2 linked regions of the Bombyx mori genome follow. The protein of the gene in region 1 binds, or shares a complex with, the protein of each later gene. Links are inferred from orthologs where the notes say so. Each region holds a gene or a part of one and is shown in the gene's direction. Other genes may lie near its edges.

Region 1 (7,229 bases):
TATATTTATTTTAAAGTTTATTTCTGAAGCTTTTATTAGTGGCATATGGAATTAGGATTACTTACTGTAATTCCTCTGCGTTTTCTGTATCATTTTCGCCTTCTTTCGGTTTCTCGGGTTCTATCCTACTCCAAGTACAACACCAAATTGCATCCTCGTGTGCATTTTCTTTTTTCAATTGTAAATAATACTGAAAAAAGGTTTGACTTAAAATCGGAACCGGTGTTTAATTACTGAAGAATTATGTACACATTTAAATTATACCAGAGTTGTAATGGACATGATTACTAGAAGCCCGAAGCGCGATCTTAAAACCTTTAGTTTCCTAATTAAAACAAATAGTGTACATTATTTCGGAATTTTCGAATTTTACAATTTTTTGAGCAACTTTTCATAGGTACCAATTAGGGATGTAACGCGTTTGAAGAAAACCGGAAAAACCGGTTTTATAGATAAATAAATTATTTAAGAATATCGGTTTTTAAAAACACGTTACATTCACAATTCACACCACTGCTAGCAGATCAAATATACAAACTACCGTGCTGCTAAATAAAAAATGCCGTGTTTGAGATTCAAATTACCGTGCATTACATTTAAAAACTACAGTACAGTTTGAAAAAAATACAATAGTATTAAATCAAAACTAAAAAGCTTTTTATTATTGGATAATATAAGATCATTAAGCTTATATAAAATATGCTCACCCTATTAATTGTATGAAGAAAACTCTTCATTTGCATGTAAATTTGTTTTATTTAATGATTATTTAGCCTTTATGGAAAAAACCTAAAAATACCTTAAAAAACCGGTTTTTTGAGAAACAAATCAGTAATAAACCTGAGCCAGAAATTGTAATTTTTAGTTTAATTTCTTGAATCAATGAGGCAAAAGAAACATGATTCATATGCATGTACGTGTGACATATATCTTGAAAGGTGGACAATTTTGCAATACTTGACGTGATAGACATTACTTATCTTTTCCGTAAGATTGGGAATATTTACTGATGCCAACCCAGACCCTACAGGAAGTCAATCAGACCCTCCAGGTTTCCGATCCTGACCAGTGATCTTAGAATCCTTAAGTATTTTACCCGCTAGCTTACAAATCTATTACACTTCAGTATGATACCGTTGCCCTCTGAGAAAACGCTTGTATCCACTGTCCATGATACTGGTGGTACGATGATTTGTTAGTCCGCACGGGTAGGTACCACCTTACTTATTTCTGCCGTGAAGCAGTAATGCGTTTTAGTTTGAAGGGTGGAACAGCCATTGCACTGTAAAAACTAAGATGTCTCGAAGTGGGTGATGGCATTTACGTTATAGATGTCTATGAGCTTCGGTAACCACTTAACACCGGGTAGGCCGTTGGCTCGTCAAAAAAAAACTTTGTATCCATCCGTGAAGATGGTTTGGTATTAGGTTCAAATTTGTCTCCTCAAGCAATAATTCTACTAATACTTTTCTAATTAATTTCTCATGTGCCCTCTCTCAGTAGTACATTTATTCGTTATGGGATTTTAGTTATAAAATTTCATCGTAAGATTTAAGTAATAGATCAATAACTATCCAGAATTAAGTATTCTATTTTTTTTATTGCATAGTTGGGTGGACGAGCTCACAGCAAACCTGGTGTTACCTGTTACTGGAGCCCATAGACATCTACGACGTAAATGCGCCACCCACCTGAGATATCAGCTCTAAGGTTTCAAGTATAGGGCTGCCCCCACCCTTCAAATCGCATTACTGCTTCACGGCAGAAATAGGCAGGGCGATGGTACCTACCCATAAGGACTCACAAGAGGTCCTACCACCAGTAATCATAATAAGACCTGAAGGTGATTATTCGAAATGTAATGAAAATTAATAGAAAGTAGTAAAAACAGAAGTTAAACACAGAAAGAACTCAAAACTCAAACAACCTGAGAAACATTGCTAATTCTACACTGTTTCACTGTTTCTGCTCAGCTCACCATAACATAACCTAGTACGGTTAAGTACCAAGAGTCTTTCTATTTCGCTATGAAGTTTTTTATTTATTTAAAAAGTGGAAAAAGAATGGAAACATCGACCTGGTGTTCCAACGCCGGCAGTGACGGCCATTTGACTTATAAAGCTGAAAACTGGAAATTGATATAGCATTTTATAGCTTCGTTGACTTGTTGAACAATTTTAGTCAAATTACGTAAGTGTTGTAGTAGTAGCAAATTAACGATATTAGTGATCTGAGGAAATGGCTCTTAGTAGCACCGCTCTTTTGATATTTTTTAATTCCTATGAAATTTGCATTTCCTGCAGAGAATTCCCCTTTTACTGAAAGATTATTTGAATTGATTTCCTTTGAAGTCCAAGTAGTTCAACTACTTTAGTCATAGAGTTTCTTAATTCTACATAGAATAGGCTTGGCTTTACTTTCCATTGCAAAAGAACTGTATGCTCTTGATTTCTTTGTCTGTTTAAGCGAAAAAAATCAATAATCTCTATGTTCATCCCAGTGTCGACTGTCGACGGTTCAGTGCCATAGATTATACACTTTCAGTGCTGTTCGTTCAGAGTGAAAATCTGTCATTACAAAATGAATGTTCAATGACGTACCTTGGTAACTAAATACTTTTGTGATTTAGTTGCATGTAGAAATGGGAAAGAAGTGTTTTGTTTGATAGGGTAATTTAAACTAAATTACATTTCAACTTTACAATACAAATTACATTTCAATTCAACAATTATTTTTGTCACAGTTAAGCTGCGTTGAATCTAAAATAATATCAAGAAAGGACACGCCATGGCTACATCGAAGTCAACAAACACATACAATCGTCAGAATTGGGAAGACGCCGTGAGTATATTGTTGAAGCTTATCAATTATCATTATCTCATTGTGGTAGTAACCATGTTATATTTTTGCAGGATTTTCCAATATTGTGCCAAACATGTCTTGGAGATAACCCTTACATTAGAATGGTATGTATTGTGGTTTCCGATAACATTATTTCGACAACTTTGATTGTTTTTTTTCATTTAACTATTTTCAGACTAAAGAAAAATACGGTAAAGAATGTAAAATATGCTCAAGACCTTTCACAGTGTTTCGATGGTGTCCCGGAGCAAGAATGCGTTTCAAGAAAACAGAAATATGTCAGACCTGTTCGAAACTGAAAAATGTTTGTCAAACATGTTTATTGGATTTGGAATATGGTCTGCCAATCCAAGTGAGAGATGCTGCATTAAAAGTTCAGGATGACCTACCTCGAAACGAAGTAAACAAGGAATATTACATACAAAACTTGGAGAGTCAGCTGTCTAACTCTGATCCAACACAGCCAACCAATTCTCTAAAATCTAAAGGATCGTCCGATTTGTTGGTGCGGTTAGCTAGAACAGCTCCATATTATAAGAGGAATAGACCGCACGTGTGCTCGTTTTGGGTCAAAGGAGAATGTAGACGAGGGGAAGAATGTCCGTATCGTCACGAGAAGCCAACAGATCCTGATGATCCACTAGCTGATCAGAACATTAAAGACAGGTTAGTCACATAAGTTTTCTGTACATCTGCTTAGTGAAAATAAAAATAAACACGTCTTTGTAAAGTGGAATTTTAGTAAATTGCATTACAAAAAGTCTTTCGATTTAAGGTATTCATAGATTTTGATCAATTATTCATTTGAGTTCCAAAAATGAACCAAATCCTGACTAAAGATTGCGAATTAATGAGGCTTAAGTTATTGAAACTCCATTGTAATAATAGTATGTGAAATAACAGCAATATCATAGTTGTTATTGAATATCTCTTGATATTTTACAGTAAATAGCTGTTAGTGTTTCTAAAAAAAAAGTTGAAGGTTTCATAATTTTTTATTCACAGGTATTATGGTGTAAATGATCCAGTAGCTGAGAAGCTTATGCGTCGTGCTGCTGCAATGCCTGCTCTACCTCCACCTGAAGACAAAACTGTTACTACCTTGTATGTTGGTAATCTTCCTGATAATGTCACTGAGGACGAGCTTAGAGGCCACTTTTACCAATATGGTGAAATTAGGTAAGTTTGACAAGTTAACACAACAAATAACAATGCTCTGGAAACAAACAGTTCATAGAAATAAACTCATAATTGTGTCTGGTGATATACACTGCATATATCTTAATTATGTTTTAATAATCTAAATATTTTTTTATTTAAATTATGCAGCTAATGTAAAGTATTCTCATATGTTCAGAGTTGACTAACTAATATTTAATTTAAGGATTATGTACCAAGTAAACCATAGTACATCCCTAGTATTATGGTTTTTAAAATAAGACCGATATCTGATTGGTGGTTATCTTAAGTTGCTACAACCATTTTTCTCATCAGTTCACAGTAGTATTCCCTTGTATTTTTTTATTATCTATTAATGTAATTGAGATTTTGATCATCATCACAAGGCTGATGAAATTAATGGTGTGATGTTGTCATTAGAAATGTGTGTATCATTAGAAAACAAATCACTATTCTAGACTTGTTTGATAAAATTAGCACTATGTTAGAAGTTATTGAATTTTCAGATGTTTGACTCTTGTACCTCGAGCCCAGTGTGCCTTTGTGCAATATACTTCAAGAAATGCTGCAGAACATGCTGCAGAAAAGACTTTCAATCGTCTTGTTATTTTTGGCAAGAGACTGACAATCAAATGGGGTAAATCGCAAGGTAACAAAACATTATTATTGCATTGTGCAAGTTTCTAAGAGAGTACCTGGTAACTACAAAATGTTAGAATACACTACATTTATGAAAAAGTATTCAATATGTTTTTTGCAAGTTATTTTCTGAAATGAGGTTTGTACTCAAACTAGTATAATTTAAAGACCTCAATCTGTAATATGATAGTAAAAGTTTATATTTCGTAATATTTATGAGTGTGTAATGTTGTTGTATATAACAGGACGACAAGGACTTACTGAGAAGAATGATGGTGTACCCATGTTGGAACCAGTTCCTGGATTGCCTGGGACGTTGCCACCACCCCCTGCATATTTACATCCATTCCCGCCACAAGTTAGTGTAAAAATGTTTTAAATTCTATGTAAAATATTTTACTTTTCTTCAAAGGATACTGAACAAAGCCTACTTTACTGGTGGTACTTAGCTTTACTGGTGGTAGGACCTCTTGTGAGTCCGCGCGTGTAGGTACCACCGCCCTGCCTATTTCTGCCGTGAAGCAGTAATGCGTTTCAGTCTGAAGGGTAGGGCAGCCATTGTAACTATACTGAGATCTTAGAACTTATATCTCAAGGTGGGTGGCGCATTTACGTTATAGATGTCTATGGACTCCAGTAACCACTTAACACCAGGTGGGCTGTGAGCTCGTTCACCCATCTAAGCAATAAAAATAAACAAAACTTAGAGACCGTATTTGTAATATTTTGTAAATTCTGTGTTCAGATGCCACCACCCCCGAACCGTCCGAACGATTTCTTCAACTTGCACCACTATGGTGGTCCGGGCTGGGGACCGTGGGGTCCGCCTGGCATGGCGCCGCCCCCGCCTCCGGCTCCGCTCCCGGCCCCGCTCCGCCTGCACTACCCTAGCCAGGACCCCGCGCGTCTCGGGGCCCACGCACACACCAACGCGCCGCAAATTTAGCAGTTGCTAATAGAATTCATAGTCATGAACTTTAAATTATGACGATGCTTGTTAAACGTGAATAAATCCAATAACTATGATTTGTGCATTGTTTGTTTGTGGTATTCTTTGTGTGAAATTTGAAAAATAAATTTAAGTAAGGTTCGATATAGAGTAGCCATTCCCAAAACGACCCAGTACCTTCAAGCTTAATACCTATAGAATAGTAAAATAAAGAATAAAAAAACGGAATTGAAGATGGTGGTGTGATCTAAATGAATTATTTTTAAATAAACGAGCACTGCTAAAGAAGATGGAAAGACGCCGTAACAATTTGCTAGTACTAGAGACCTTCATTCAAATTAAATGAAACTGACCTAACTAAAGAATGCTAGTAATGAAAAAGTTCTTATAAGTTTCTACATTTCTTTCATGTTAATATCAATAAAGGTTTCAAAGTAAAACAGATATTCTGAAACTATATTTATTATTAATCATAAGTTCATAACATTACTTAATTGTTACAAAACAGTTTAAACATTCTGATAAAACTACATTCCTTCGCTTACCATTTATTCTGGGTAAGGACGGTCTGTTAAATAATTTACATTAAACTAGGCCCAGATTACGTAATGAATCTTAATTAAGATGACGCACTAATTGTACGTCGCGACGATGAAACAATTTAAAAGCAGATTAATATTGGCTCAGAAAGCTGTTTAGTCGGTTGACTAGTTTTAAGAATATGCTCATATCCTAATTCTATACATATACATTATAGTGTTGTGCATCTAAGTCTCAGTGAAGGGCAAGAAGGATCATTCAGATTAACGGTAATTAACTATATATATATATATATATATATTTAAATGAACATCGAGAATACAAGTTACTACTAAATTAGAGACGTTAATAATTTATGTACACTTTGGAATGTTAGACACATCTAAAAGTTTAGTTTTAAAAATCGCTAAAGGTTTCGAACTCCACATCACAAATTATAATTTAGCATTAAACAGTATAGGGACACAAAAATATAGATATGCAAATATTGAGCCTGCTAAAATTCAATTGGTACATGTAATCGATACAATAAATATAAAAGTATTAAAAGCCTTGGGTGTTTATTGGATATTATTTTCTTAAAGCATATTTTGTAAGCTCTCGTCTCGTCCGGTAATAGTCTAATAATAATCGAACGTTGAATAAATGCGCTTTAAAATATGACATTAAAATATAAAAAAAATGCGCCAAATGAAATATTTCTAAGTACATAGGTTGCACAATATCTTACTAACTTACTGCAGCCGTTCATAATTATTTTCAGTATATATATATAGTATTTAATAAAATCTTATCTATAATTGCTGGAGTAATGTTAACATTTCGTCAAGAATAAAACAAATTACAAATAACAATAAAATTATGTTTGTATTAGTTTTACAATAGGGATCGCACAGCCAAGTAATAACAATGTTGCCGTTCAAGTATTTTAACGTGTTTTAAAGTGTTATTATGTTTCATAAATTAAGTGTTCGAGCTGTCCATCCTTATTGAAAGAAGGTTGTCATAATTATAGTCAATTATTAAAGACTTCGTTCACACGAATTGTTCTTCGATTTTG
Region 2 (7,142 bases), on another chromosome or scaffold:
TCAGAAGTATTTAATGATTTTTTTCTAGGTCCACCTCTATGTGATCAATAATCTTGCATGATTATAAAATCCTTTATTAAAAACAACATTTTCAACATTTCATAAAAATATTAAGGAATGCTACTTAAATATTTGAGCCTATTACATTATTTAAAACGATAAGAACAAAAACATTACAATTTTAACAATTAGAATGATATTTTTATAGATAAAAGATAATATTTTCTAAACTATACGTTGATTACAATTAAACAAAAAAAAAATATTATTTTATTTTATTAATTTTACACTTATGATCCCATTAGATTAGAGGTATCACAGAATACACTGTTCTATTGTTTGTTCTATAAAAGTAAACTATGGTTTACACACTATGGTTATTTGATCATACTATGCTAACAACACAATAATGTAAATAATAAAATATTATTTTATTTTATTAATTGCTCCAGTATTTCAGGATCGAGACCTTCTAACGAGACTTTGAGTTTCACTGCCTGCAATGGCACTCCTACTTGAACCATTTTAACAAATTTATCATATTCAGGTTTAGTTTTCATTTCTGCTGGGGCTTGGTCTTCTAGTTTTCTTTCTAGATTTTCTTCTTGGAGTTCTGTTTCATTTTGACTTTCAGTAGATTCAGTCTCTGTAACATTACTTGTATTTGTCTGCTTAGGAATGTCTAATTCTGGTATTGAAGATAACTGAAATCAATAAGTTTTATCTATTTATGTATCGGTTTGATGTATGCTATCAATTAAAATGAAGTTTTTGAGGCACATGGGCAATTAAAGAAATGGCATAAACACAACCTGAATAAGGATTATGGTGAAATGCAATGATGCCATATCTTAAAATTAGTAGTAGTCTAATTTCTAATCTGGTAGGAGACCGTTTTTTTTTTAATTCAATTGAAGCTTTATGCATTGCAAATATATCAATAGGCTGCTCTTACTTTATCAGATCAATCAACAGCTTTCCAGAGAAGGTCTTGCAGAAATGGTTTATTATGACTAATGATAGAAAATAAAAACATTTTAGATATCCGTTTTTGTTTACATACAATAATTTATAAAAATATAATCACCTTAGATTCTAACAAAACCATGGCAGCATTAACTTTTTCTAATTTTCTCTCAAACTGCATCAGTTTCTGCTCGCAATTCGTCATAAAGTTATTCAGAAATTGTACATTTATTGTTAGGAAATGATTTACAAATGCCAATGTACGTTTTTGATGTAATGCCGCAACCTGCAATTTGTTTTTTAAATATTAAAAATAAATTATTCTCATTTATAAAAAAATATTGTGTTTTCTAGAATTAGGAAGTTTATAAAGATAATCAAGGCCGTGAAGTTTGTACTGCATTAAATTTTACAACAAATAATAATAATTCCAAATTTAAAACCTTAGTTAAATCCGTTTGTGGGGATTCGGATTGAGTTAAATCTTCTTGGATGGTCATTTTCAGTAGAATATAAACAAGACGAAAAAGAAATTTGTCTTGTGGTTTGGAAGCTTGAATTTGTTTTGTTCTACTGAAAAAACCAAATTGAATTACATTTCAATACATTGACTAATAGGTCCACGAGTTTTAATTACACTAAGTTTAATATAAAAAGCACCTAATTATTTTACAATAACAATCTTTTTCCTTCCGTGACAGTCGTACCTATTTATTTACGTTAAAAGAGTATGTAAGCAAATTAAAAGGAATATTTCAGTAGGTACAGTAGGTACGGTACCACCACCTAAGTCTGACATTATTATCATTAATTTACATTTATCAATATAACACTATTCTTTGACAATAGTGCTACTGTCCACTGTCAATATTTGTAGTAGTTCTATTTTTCCAACTGGAAAGGCAAAAGTATCATACGATACAGCCTAAGTTATCATTGTATTTTATGAAAAATGATAATATGAAGTAAAATGAAATAGAGTTGATTAATTTGAAACAATAATCAATTGGCGTGAAATCTAAGTAAAATGATGGTTATTTACTGAGACTTTAAGGAAACTGCCACCTCGCCCCGGGCAACAGTCTCATCAAAGAGGGTACACACACGCATGATTGCGTCGATGGTAGACCGGCCCTTTCTGAAGCCGTACTGTTCGGCTGACCGATTGGAACCCGTCCTGGGGATGGGGCAGATGACGCATCCACGACTTGCTCCAACAATTTTCTAGTTTCGTCCAGCAACACGATGTGGTGGTACACCACGGATGACTCCTAGAGGAGCTCCTCTTTCCTCAGAAGGATGAATCTGTCCGATTTCCGTCCGGGCTCAAGGCAGGCTTCGAAAAGCCGCACAAGCCAATCCTCCAAAGTACCGAAGGCCTGACCTGGCCACGACTCCGTAGGAGATCTAACAGCTAAGGGCAACTGCTTCGCGAATGTATCTGTAATAAAATGTCTAATTTTGTAGTAATGAAAGCTTTTTAATCACTGAATACATGTGAAATGGCACAAGTTTTAAAAAATCAAACAAACATTGGACGTGTTCACACAAATCATCCACTCCTAGACGTGCAGCGACCGTATTTATTAGATTCCTGCGACTTTCAGTAGGACGTCAGTTCACCTCGTCGAAAGTCTATCTAAGCTGCGTCGTGTGTGGCTGCCACTCGAGAATATTTTCAAAATAAGTTCGTTGATCTCTCAGTAAGCACCATTGTTTCATTATCAACTCATCTAATATCTACTCGATGTGTTCTTCTTTCATTAAATTCCATTTTATAATATAATATTAATTTAATATCAATTTATTGAATATCGAGGAATTCAAAAGATTTAGCTATATGGACTATATTTCTTTTGCCTGTTCATTTTAGGCTTAAAACTAGCTCAAACGAAGAATGTCACACAAGTGACACAACTAAAATCAAATAAACAAAGAACAGCGTTAAAACTTTAATATAAAGTGATAAATCACAGTACCCATTCGTAGTAAAGGGAGTTATAAATTTTGTAGAAAATGGCAGGAGAAGTTGTCGTAGATGCATTACCATATATAGACCAAGGATATGACGATCCTGGAGTAAGAGAAGCTGTAAGTATTATGATAACCTTACTTTTTTTAATTCTTGGACCATTTCCTTTACAACAAAGATTCATATCGCTTTAGCTTTGACATCTAGAGAAAGAAATTCAATAATCATTTTGGTATTGCTGGTCTGAACGACCACACTTCACAAATGTGGGTTATATTCTCGTCTGCTTCAAAATGCGCAGTCACCGCTGAGAGATTTATATAAAAATGTTTTTTTTTCGTTGTTTCTTGAACATGTATGCTATTTCGAAGGACTTCCTTTTTCGAAATGGAATAATTTCACCTTTAGAATAAACCGATTTGTATAGTCTTGGTTCGACCACTGCCAAAGATCAATTTGAAATTAGATTTCTGTTTGTTCCTTTTTGCATTGAGTGATACAAAACGAAGTAATTTTGGTAATATTCATCTTGGTCAGTCTAGGAAATGCAGAACTTCTAGGAATTTTTGCATACACTGTAAGCTACAAAGCACTTTTGCTTCAATTCTTTTTCAATTTTAATGTCAATTTCAAATTCAATTCAATTCACGATTTTATTATTTTGTTTCATTGCTATTGTAATAATTGATTGTGTGACTGGGAAGCTGTCTCAAAAAAGTATTATTAAAGCACTTCTTATTGATACTGCAGTATAAAATGTCCTTATAATCAAACCTACTTATAGAAGACTCCTTAAACTACCCTTAAATATGGGAATTGATTTTCAGGCATTGGCCATGGTGGAAGAAGAGTGCAGACGCTATAGACCCACAAAGAACTATCTTGAAAATGCAGGACCAGAACCAAGTTCTGCATTTGAAACTCCTGCTTTACAACGAGAGATGGAAAGAGTGCAACAGAGATTGCCGATGGAACCATTGTCTATGAAGAGGTGCATAAAACCTGCAATTTTTTTTATTTATTATTTTGTTCTTTTAATTTGCACCACCCACCTTGAGATATAGGGTCTAAGGTCTCAAGTATAGTTACAACGGCTGCCCCACCCTTCAAACCGAAACGCATTACTGCTTCACGGCAGAAATAGGCAGGATGGTGGTACCTACCCGCGCGGATTTACTAGAGGTCCTACCATCAGTAATTACGTAAATAAAAACTTGCGGGTTTGATTTTGATTCTTCTTCTTCTTCTTCTTTGTCGTTTCCTCATTACTGAGGGTCGTGACCACCTTGGTCCAGCTTTTGCACCAGCTTCCTCCAATGCTGCCTGCATTCGGCCTGCTTAATGGCTTGATTTTGATTACATGATGTAATTCCTTCACCATGGAAGTCAATCATGAACATTTGTTTAGTAGGTATTTCATTAGAAAAATTGGTACTCGCCTGGGATTCGAACACCCAGTGTATTGCTCAACACGAATGCACCGGACGTCTTATCTTTTAGGCCACGACGACTTCAATTAAGTTGATAGGTTTGTAAGCTAAGTTGGTATTTGAGTCAGCCTGGCTACTGATGCCACAGTATGAACATGATGATAATGAAGTAATAGTAAGATTGTGAGGAGATATAATATGTAGGTCTGTAACTTTTACTAAGTGGTATCTTGTGATGCTGACTGTTAATATGCCAAATCCTCTGGTCATGTTAACAAACATCACTATTGAGTGATCACGTGATGTAGTGAAGCACAGGAATGTGGTTTTAAAAAAAAAACTATTGAAATATTATGTATAATTAATTCCTCAGGTATGAACTTCCACCCCCTCCAGTCGGAAGAATGAGTGAACCAAGTGCCTGGGCCGAGTCAGTTGACAACTCTCATGCACAGCTGTCACACCAAGCTATCAGAGTTCTCAATTTAGAGTTGCAGTTAGAGTACGGTTCAGAAGCATGGAGATCATACCTCAATACACTTCAAGCATTAGTCACAAGAGCTCAAAACGAACACAACCAGTTACGGTAAGAGATGTATAACATAGAAATTATATTTAAATGGTTGTTAGTTTGACAGGGAGTCTATCTTCGATTATAGAGCCTAGGGAAGTAATTGTCTGTTGCTTTGACCCTTATTGCCTTTCATAGAAACAGTAGGTTAGAACTGCTTGTAGGATTTTATATAACTCCAAACTATTACAGTCAAACCTGGATAAGCGAGAGTTCAAGGGAGCACAATCTCATTCTCGCTTATAGAGGTTTCTCACTAACCCGAGTTTCTCTCTAATGCTCCCTCTGAATTTCATTTAGAGATTTTACGGATTCAAACGAATTCACTATTTTAAGTTTATCACTTAATGACAGCAATTGATTAACGATAAACTGAGTAAGTCTGACAAACAAGATGGTACACAGGCACACGTGTCCATTCGAAAAGAATGCCATAAAATAATAACGTTATTTAGTTCCACGAAATAGAATAGGTTCAATATTGACGAGAAAACAATACAAAAACAATGTTAAGAAGTTCCACGAAAGTTAAGAATGGGTCATAAAATAGCAGATTTTAAATTTGTAATTTGTTTTGTCATTTGTTCCTCCTAAATAATATAAATAAATAAAGCTCGACTGTCGCTTATAGAGGTATAGAATAGTAGCAGTCTCACTTACGGAGGTTCATGAGGGAAAAAATACTCTCTCTTATAGAGGTTTCCGTTTCTCGCTAATAGAGGTTTTAGGAGCTAAAAATGACGGGTCCTGGCTATTACTCTCACTTATAGAGTTTTCTCACTTATCCAGTTCTCACTTACCCAGGTTTGACTGTATATCATTTGGACCAGAGGCTTCCAGGTTTTGTTCTGTTGGCCACTTTCAACATTTATTTGGTTGCAAGGGAACCCCCTGCTAACTAGGTTTCTACCATATTTCCAAAACTGTGTAAAAATGTGGAGATTAGATGTAAGTACGAAAATTTGCGTCGCGGTTAAGTTCCAACCGCGATTTCATAGTTTTCGAAAAATAAAGTGAGAATTGATTGTTTAATTTATCAATTGATTTTGCTGCTGTGAATGGATGTAAAAAATGGAAAGTTTGCCAATAAAAAAGCGATTCCATCCAACTTTACTTTATTGATATCTACTCACAGCACAAGGAACCCATCAATTCTCACTTATTTCATTTAGAAAACTCCTTATTCGGAGTGTTAAATATAAAAAATAGTACGCCAATGTAGATCCCCGTTGAGTATTCTGTGGACCCCTGGGCGTCCACCTGAACCACTTTGGGAATTAAGGATTTAGACCATACCAAAATTAATTTTTTTACTGTGTACACACAAGTCCAGTCTATTAAAAACAATAATTACATTTCAGTAAACAAATAGGCTCTGTGAACTGGGAACGTAAACGCGTACAAACAGCAAGCGGTGCGAGGTTGCGGGCATTGAGGCGACGGTGGGCGCAACTTGTCTCGGACAATTATAGACTTGAAAGAGCCCTACTTCACTTACAACAGGTACGTTCAAGTTATTTTATTATTATCTTTCTAATGAAATACGTACTTAACCAATTGTTCACGATTGACTTCCACGGTGAAGGAATAACATCGAATAAAAATGAAACCTGCAAAATTAGAATTTGCGTCATTACTGGTGGTAGGACCTCTTGTGAGTCCGCACGGGTAGCTACCACCACCCTGCCTATTTCTACCGTGAAGCAGTAATGCGTTTCCGTTTGAAGGGTGGGGTAGCCGATGTAACTATACTGAGAACTTAGAACTTATATCTCAGGTTGGGTGGCGCGTTTACGTTATAGATGTCTGTGGGCTCCAGTAACCACTTAATACCAGGTGGGCTGTGAGCTCGTCCAACCATCCAAGCAATAAAAAAAAAATTGTTGATTTAGTACATTAAAAATCTTTTCAATAATATTGCATTTGGTTTAAGAACAAACAAAAGTTACAATTGCTATTGCCACTTCCCATTATAAAGTAAATACTAAAGGAATCATTATTATTGTGTGGTGTTATTCCAGATTTAGATACAATAAAATAATTTAAAAATACATAAAGGCGTGGCTAACAGTAATAATGACTATTTCAAACAATATTACAGATATCCTAAAAAAAACCTAACAACCAAAATAAACATTATGTAAGAATAAATATCCAAATTTCCTCAGAGTTCATCCATATTATCTGGAACCGCTGCGTTCAT

The links. Proteins that work in one complex are often made in the same cells at the same time.
Region 2: pre-mRNA-splicing factor RBM22 (region 1) and pre-mRNA-splicing factor SPF27 share a complex: the UniProt entries of both Homo sapiens proteins name them as parts of the postcatalytic spliceosome P complex. The link is inferred for Bombyx mori from reciprocal best matches to the Homo sapiens genes RBM22 and BCAS2.

The regions. Positions count from the first base shown.
Region 1 is NC_085127.1:4,265,809-4,273,037, reverse strand, and holds pre-mRNA-splicing factor RBM22, read left to right. Parts: upstream 1-2,493; 5' UTR 2,494-2,669; intron 2,670-2,743; 5' UTR 2,744-2,787; coding exon 2,788-2,841; intron 2,842-2,912; coding exon 2,913-2,966; intron 2,967-3,037; coding exon 3,038-3,528; intron 3,529-3,867; coding exon 3,868-4,041; intron 4,042-4,547; coding exon 4,548-4,690; intron 4,691-4,925; coding exon 4,926-5,038; intron 5,039-5,425; coding exon 5,426-5,626; 3' UTR 5,627-5,706; downstream 5,707-7,229. Other genes in the region: WD repeat domain 61, read right to left, coding at 66-190, 265-282. UniProt on the Homo sapiens protein: Required for pre-mRNA splicing as component of the activated spliceosome. Involved in the first step of pre-mRNA splicing.
Region 2 is NC_085118.1:939,242-946,383, reverse strand, and holds the start of pre-mRNA-splicing factor SPF27, read left to right. Parts: upstream 1-2,525; 5' UTR 2,526-2,669; intron 2,670-2,839; 5' UTR 2,840-2,982; coding exon 2,983-3,057; intron 3,058-3,765; coding exon 3,766-3,929; intron 3,930-4,741; coding exon 4,742-4,954; intron 4,955-6,300; coding exon 6,301-6,649; 3' UTR 6,650-7,142. Other genes in the region: WASH complex subunit 3, read right to left, coding at 432-704, 1,088-1,252, 1,410-1,466. UniProt on the Homo sapiens protein: Required for pre-mRNA splicing as component of the activated spliceosome. Component of the PRP19-CDC5L complex that forms an integral part of the spliceosome and is required for activating pre-mRNA splicing.